Linked DNA regions of Coturnix japonica. Each later gene encodes a partner of the first gene's protein in a complex. Links are inferred from orthologs where the notes say so. Each region holds a gene or a part of one and is shown on either strand. Other genes may lie near its edges.

Region 1 (3,539 bases):
AAACTGTGTTTGATTTCCCAAACCCAATTCTCATAAGGAGGCTGGATAATCATAGCACTACATAGAAATGGTAGGAAAAACAGGAGAAGACAGAAATAGGCTGTTAAGCACAAGAAAAGCTACTACACCTGGTCCTCATCCTTATTTCCTTTTAGAGATTTTATTATGAAAGTCTTATTTGTAGTACTCAAGTGGTAACTTATCTACTATTTTGTTTCAATCTCACTTCTGCAAAAGTTAATGTTCAAGGAAACTAAGGTTCAATCTAACCTACCTTCTTTCTTTCCTCACATCTTACCTTCGCTCACTATTAATCTAAATATCACACAGAAGCAGGTCAGCTTGTATTTAGCTGCTTAGTGACTGAAACTCATAACTGTTGCTGTACGTACAGGACACTAAGAACAAAGTAGGCTTTGAATGCAGAACCTGTAAAAATATCACCTTGCAGCAGGAACAGCAGATCTGTGGAGTAAACACGAACAGGTTCAAACAAGCATAAAAAAAAAAACATGAAGAAAAGCACATAAGAGCAACAAGAAGTTTGTTTTGCAAGCTTTACTTCTAAATAACATCTGGTACAAAGCAAACACGTTAAGAGAAGACTCTTGCTGTTACTGTACTATCAAGAAAAGCTCTATTACAACAAAAAGGTTGCAGTACAGAAAGCAGAGTCTGCATAATTTAGTGAAAAACACGGCCCGTCCTGTAGGCCTTTGATTTCCTTCTGAGGTCTACAATGTGTACACTAACAGGCATGCTTGTAGTCAGGTTACACATTGAAGCAATAGTGCATTATCAAGTTTGCTATTGAAAGGATATTGAGTACTCTGAGAGTCAGCTTTCAAGAGCTTCTCATACAAGTATTCTACCATGGGACAGCAGTGGAGAGCTTCAAATACACATCCTGGGGCTTCATCTGCAACACTACAGAAAGATTATCCATTAAACATGGAACTTGTTTCTGTTCGCTGTCAGTTAATGAGTACAGTAATACCAAGGTTTAAGTCTCTACCCTACGACGGCGTATTAAATAAGCATCAAATTTGGCTCAAACGTTATAGGTATCTATTCGTACTAGAGTGGAAAGCTGTCGCTACCTGCTAAGTCAAGAGCTTCCTGAGTTCCCTATGTATTGCAAATCCTTAGTTTCACAGTACAGAGATCACAAACACATTCATAGCTCAGGTGAACAGGAACAATAAGGTCAGAACTTTAAGGCTGTATCCTAAAAGCTTTCTTGAAGAGATCCACATTATGGCAAATTTCCAAGAGTTACTAAAGCTGATGGAATAAAGTACATATAACCATTCTTAGTTATGAAAAATACTTGGTTTATCCAGATTTTTTCTTTACTCTATTAATCAGAAACGTGCCAGAATGGGACATAAGGAGGAGATGTATTAAAAAAAAATAAATCACATTTTGCACTGAACTGCTGGAAAAATTCATGTGGCATTAGAATAGTAAACGAAAGGAAGATGGACATTAAATACGTAGGAAACTCATTTCCTACTTAAAAACATACACAAATTATAACTACAGGAAACTTGAAGGAATTTATGTTAACTTGTAGTAAATGCATTAGAGATGAAGTACCACTCACATCAAAAGGAATGCGGTGAAATTAAAGTTTAATATCTCTCATGGTTAAGAAACTGAGTTCTAGTGAAACAAAATGGAATGCTAATTTCATAAAAATATATATACATATAAAAGCTTCTTTGTATCTCAATTCCAGAACAGTTTCACCAAAGTAGTGCTTCTAGAACTTCAAGTTTTAATTATATTCAAAGTATTTATCATTTAGAGTTGGCAAACTACATTCTTAGGTTAACATTTTTACTTTACACCTTCCTAGATAGGAAGCGTCACTAATTCAATAACGGGTCACTCATGAATGAAAATCTGTTTTGCTCCCCCAGGAAAGCAGCAGAATATTACAACTTCAGTAGTAGAGTAAAACCCATTTGTTATTTTATCTACATCTTTCCCATCCTCTTCAGAGTAAGCTAGTTGGAAGTAATTTGGCAAGAAAGAAAAAGAAAGTTAAGTCAACAACAAGATGAACTAGGCTTCGGTTTCCGATGGAGGTTTACTGTATCTGTTTGAATAAAATGATCCGATCTATCTTCAGAGGCTAGAACTCTTCTAACAGCTTCTTCAAAGGCTGCTGCAACGTTAATGGCGTCTTTTGCACTGGTTTCAAAATAGGGGTGATTACCATTATTCCTGCACCAGTCTTGGGCTTCCTCTGTAGACACTTGCCTCTCATTTATATCGACTTTGTTACCCAGTATCACAAATGGAAAGTTTTCAGGCTCCTTGACGTCTGCGTAATAAATGAATTCTTTCTTCCAGTTGCTTAGGTTTTGGAAGCTTTGAGAGTCATCCACACTGAAGGTAAGCAGGCAACAGTCAGAACCTCTGTAGAAAGGAGTCCTCAGGCTCCTAAAACGTTCCTGACCTGCTGTGTCCCAGATCTGCAGAGTGACAAAGTGTCCGTCCACTTCCAGTTCTTTGTTTAAGAATTCCACACCTATTGTATGAAAAAGCTGTGCATCAAACTTGTTGGTGACATATCTATTCATAAGGGAACTCTTCCCAACTCCACCATCTCCTAGCAGTATTACTTTAAGGAGTGACGATTTTGTTGCCATTGTTAAGGAAACAGATCCTCCTTGTTTCCTAGACCTGCAAAGGTTAAGAAAACTGTTAAAAAGGGAAATAGTGAGCAGAAAGTTTTGTACTTATCTAGGAATCACAGAATTGTAGGGGTTGGAAGGGACCTCTAGAGATCATTGAGTCCAACCCCCCTGCCAAAGCAGGCTCCCTACACCACGTCACACAGGTAGGCGTCCAGGCGGGTCTTGAATATCAGAGAAGGAGACTCCACCACCTCCCTGGGCAGCCTGTTCCAGTGCTCCGTCACCCTCACTGTAAAGAAGTTCTGCACATTCGTGCAGAACTTCCTATGCTCCAGTTTCATTCCATTACCCCTAGTCCTGTCCCCACACACTACTGAAAAGAGTCCAGCCTCACCACTATGGACCCCACACCTCACGTATTTATAAACCTGGATCAAGTCCCCTCTCAGCCTTCTTTTCTCAAGGCTAAGCAGACCCAGTTCCCTAAGTCTCTCTTCATAGGGGAGATGCTCCAGGCCCTTCACCATCTTTGTGGCCCTCCACTGGACTCTTTCCAAGAGATCCCTGTCTTTTTTGTACTGGGGGAGCCCAGGAAGCATTAGAAGTCCACCAACATCAAGCTTAATGCACAAGGACAGGATGGCTGTGTGATACAGACAATGCAAAGATACTCATAATAACAACATACACTCAAGAATACAATGTGTTTAACTGTCACCTCTTCCACAGACTGCAGCATGACTTTTGCAACTGATTCACAGTGAGTTCTGTGGTCTACAAAATGAATTAAGACCAAATTACAGCATTTGTGCAGACCTGTGACTAGCTTTCATCACAGCATTCATACACTAACATTCATTATTTCTCTCCTTATAAAGCAGCGGCATTAAA
Region 2 (3,573 bases), on another chromosome or scaffold:
TTCCTTTGGCTTTTCTTGACAGATTCTGGACTCTGAGCTCTTTGAGCTGATGCACCAGAATGGTGATTACACCCATTTCTACTTCTGCTACCGATGGTTTCTCCTGGACTTCAAGAGAGGTTTGTGCAGGGAGAGGGACAGCTGGGACCAGTGAAGGGGGGGTTGAGAGCAGGGTTTGCCATGTGTTACTGTTTGGCTTCTCCCTACTAAGAATTATGGCTGACTTTTCTGTCTAGATCAGAACCTGTTGCTCCAGAGCTGCTGGCGAGCCTCCAGCAGGTTTATGTCCTGCAGTCTGTACCACCTGCTGCAGGCCAGAATGTGTGTCTGTGCAGATGACTGACTTGTTCTTTGGAACAGGTTGTTGGGGGAAGAAACCACATTCTGCCCCAGTGAATGCTGCTGTGAGTCAGGCTGATGGAAGCCTGATGTGTGACTGCTGGGCTTTCCTTCTCCTAACAGAGCTGGTGTATGACGATGTTTTTGCTGTTTGGGAGACCATCTGGGCAGCTGCACGCGTTTCCTCTGCACACTATGTGCTCTTCATTGCCCTGGCTTTGGTGGAAATGTACCGGGATATCATTTTGGAGAACAACATGGATTTTACAGACATCATCAAGTTTTTCAATGGTACGGTTTGGGTTCTGTTGGGCTCAATTTGTGGCAGCTGCTCAGAGGTAGGCAGCACTTCTGGATGGCTGTAGACAGTCGTGTCCTGACTGCTCTGGTAAATACTGAAAAAGAGCAGAGGGTATGTTGTGTGATGCTGATATTTGGAATGTGATGGTAAAGGGGTCCCTTGCTTCTGAGGGGTTCAGAAGATGCCTGGGGAGCAATCCTTGGCCACAGCCTGCCTTGTCTGTGCTTGATGGCAGCTGTGAGCAATAGGTTGTGCTTCCTGCAAGGTGAGCTCCTTAACGATGACCCTTCAGAGTCAGGAGTCCACAAGGGGTGGTGCCTGGGGACTTGGCTGTGAATTCACTTCAGCTGCTCCCAGAGCTTGGCTGAGGGGCAGAAGAGGACCTGGAGGAGCTCCTTAAATCTCTGGGCATCTCGGGTGTAGCCTCTATGTGAGTTCCTTTTGTCTGTGTTCCAGAAATGGCTGAGCGGCACAACACCAAGCAGATCTTGAAGCTGGCTCGAGACCTTGTGTACAAAGTGCAGACTCTGATCGAAAACAAGTGAAAGACCTGGGGAAGACGAGGCATCCGGACAGAGAGCTGGGACTCCCCTCCAATGCTTCCTCTCCCTTTTTCTCACCATTCCACACCTGTGGAAGTGAGGTAGTTGGACACACGCTGCAGTCTGAACTGGCACTACCCATAGCTCTGCAAGTGCTGTGCTCAGTGTTAGGTCCGGGGGCTCCGGCTCAGATCTGCACAGCATTCTCTAATGACTTAACCAAAGATCTGTACAATTGTGTTGCATTGCTAAAGACTTGCTTTGGAGGTAGGGCAGCCGCTTCCTAACCCTGCTGCAATGAAGGAGCAGCACATGGTTATCACCCCAACTGCAGAAGCAGTTGCCAGCATCCCAGGTCAATGTTGGGGGGGGTCTGGGAGAGCAGGGCTGCCAAACCCAACCAGGGATGCTGCCAGCCCTCAGTTTCTTACTGACATCTGAGGTTCTGCCAGTAGCAGAGAGGGACTTGGATCACAGAGATTCCTCATCTTTTGATCTCGTCCCTTGACGCATAGCATCCCCTTTAGTATTTTTAGGGCTCCGTTCTCTCCCTTGGATTTTTACATTGTTTGTTACTACGGTATCCGAGCACACAAGAGTTTTGTCTGCAGATGGAGTTTTGGAAGAGCTCCAAATTCAGCATTGGGTTTCTCTTTCAAAATTCAGCCTCTGTAAATGCCTCTGAACACCAAGACCTGCTCCTGGCCTTGTCTGGCAGCTCCAGACACCAGGTTTTCTTCGTACCTGCCTTATTCTAGCTGCTTGTGTTAGGGGTCTGCTCTCCTGCTCGTCCTTCTGCAACCCAATTTAAGGGAGGGCTCCTTGGAAGGCAAGTGGGAGCTCCTGACCTAGTGGCTGTCCTGATGTTCCCCTCTGAAGGTGCCTGTCTGTTCCTCTATTAGCTGAAAGAGTGGCTGCTTGCAGCTGAACAGTGCAAACGATCCCTCTGGTGCCTGCAGGTTTCTGTGTGCTTATGGGGCTGCTCAGAAAGCCCCCTGAGTCCATTGAAGGTCTCCAGTTAGGTTGTGGTGGGCTGCTTTTCACCCAGCATCTCCGAGTGGTCTTTGCTTTTAGCAGATGCATTGCAGTGGCTCTCCAGCATCTCATGCGTGAAGTGCCTCTGCAGCACTGCCAGCGTGGGGCTGAGTGTGCGGTGCAATGGTTGTGGTGTGGGTTTGGATTCATTTCTCAACTCAGGTTTAAAAAAAATAAAGAGGAAAAGGAGGGGTGTTGGTGATGGGCAGGTCTGGCTCAGCCAGGGGGAGCTTTGCCATGGCCACAGAGGGCTGTAGGAATGCAGGGAGGTGCTGGGTTGGAGCTCTCTGTAAGGGAGTTTCTCTCGAGTTTTGCTGCAGAAATATGTGTTCCCCTCCATGTGATGTGTGTGCGTTCTGCCCTCCGCCCCTCTGTGCAATGGGGCCCTTCTGCTGCTGCTTCCCTTCTTCTTTGGAATGCCTGTCCGTGCCGACTGTGCTCCGTAATGACTTATGGCATGTGGTAGATGTTGCTTGCAGAAGGACAGGCAGGCAATCTCTCACTTTTGCATAGAGCAGAGCGAGATGCTTGTACCCCCTCCCAGATTGTTCCACTTCTCTCTGGGTCTTGGGATAGATCAGCATCTACCTGCATGGCCACTTCCAAAGGGGAAGGGGGCTGCTCTACCCCATCCCTTCCAAAGGACGGGAGCCAGTATGTAACTAAACACAGTCCTGACAAGCAGCATCGCTGACACTTTATCCTTCATGCTTCTGATTTTCCTCTATTCTTGGTTTTCAAACAGAAAACAGCCAAGAAATTCCGCACAATGTTTGCTGTCTGTGTGAACGGGGTGTCTTTGATAGCAATGTGTGGGGTTGGTTTTGGTTTTCTTTTTTTTTTTTAAGTCACTTTTTTGGGGAAGAAAAGTATTTATTGATTGCACATTCCCGTGTGTCTGTGTGCACTGAAGTGCGTGAGTGTGTGTGTTGTGATGCAAATGGAGATGTATCTTTGCAATGTTGCCAACATATCTTGTAAATGTTTACCAGAGAATAGTGTCTATATATAATATAATATAATATATATATATATGGTATAGAGAGAAAATATATGAACTAAGTGGGTTATTTTTTGAGAAGGGAGAAGTGTTGATTCTAAGAGCTGCGTGGTCTCCTTGCAGCTGTCCCATGCTGCACCCCCATCCCTGTGCTGTTTGCAGAGGCGCTGTGTCCTCTTGGCTTGAGTTTAGCTCTGATTTTCAAACTGTGGGTAAGAAGGAAAAAGGGAGTGTGGGGGGGAAGCTCTGGTTCAGCCCATGTGGGTAGAGCTGTGCAGGGCCATGCCTGCCATGGGTTAATGTGAGTGTACAATGCAGACCTGAGCTCTGTTTGAGTTGCAGAGCAGCTGGATAGT

Evidence for each region.
Region 2: the proteins of RAB9A (region 1) and SGSM1 are in contact, whole or in part, in a crystal structure (PDB 4QXA), measured with the Mus musculus proteins. The link is inferred for Coturnix japonica from reciprocal best matches to the Homo sapiens genes RAB9A and SGSM1. Residues at the interface, in NP_062747.1 of Mus musculus: Phe37, Thr39, Ile40, Gly41, Val42, Glu43, Phe44, Leu45, Trp61, Arg68, Phe69, Leu72, Phe76; in NP_766306.2 of Mus musculus: Leu256, Leu257, Tyr258, Gly259, Lys260, Asn261, Asn262, Tyr277, Asn294, Met297, Asn298, Gln361.

The regions. Positions count from the first base shown.
Region 1 is NC_029516.1:110,820,522-110,824,060, forward strand, and holds the end of RAB9A (ras-related protein Rab-9A), read right to left. Parts: intron 2,695-3,539; 5' UTR 2,661-2,694; coding exon 2,055-2,660; 3' UTR 544-2,054; downstream 1-543. UniProt on the Homo sapiens protein: The small GTPases Rab are key regulators of intracellular membrane trafficking, from the formation of transport vesicles to their fusion with membranes.
Region 2 is NC_029530.1:6,046,482-6,050,054, forward strand, and holds part of SGSM1 (small G protein signaling modulator 1), read left to right. Parts: intron 1-22; coding exon 23-119; intron 120-462; coding exon 463-630; intron 631-1,096; coding exon 1,097-1,185; 3' UTR 1,186-3,573. UniProt on the Homo sapiens protein: Interacts with numerous Rab family members, functioning as Rab effector for some, and as GTPase activator for others. Promotes GTP hydrolysis by RAB34 and RAB36.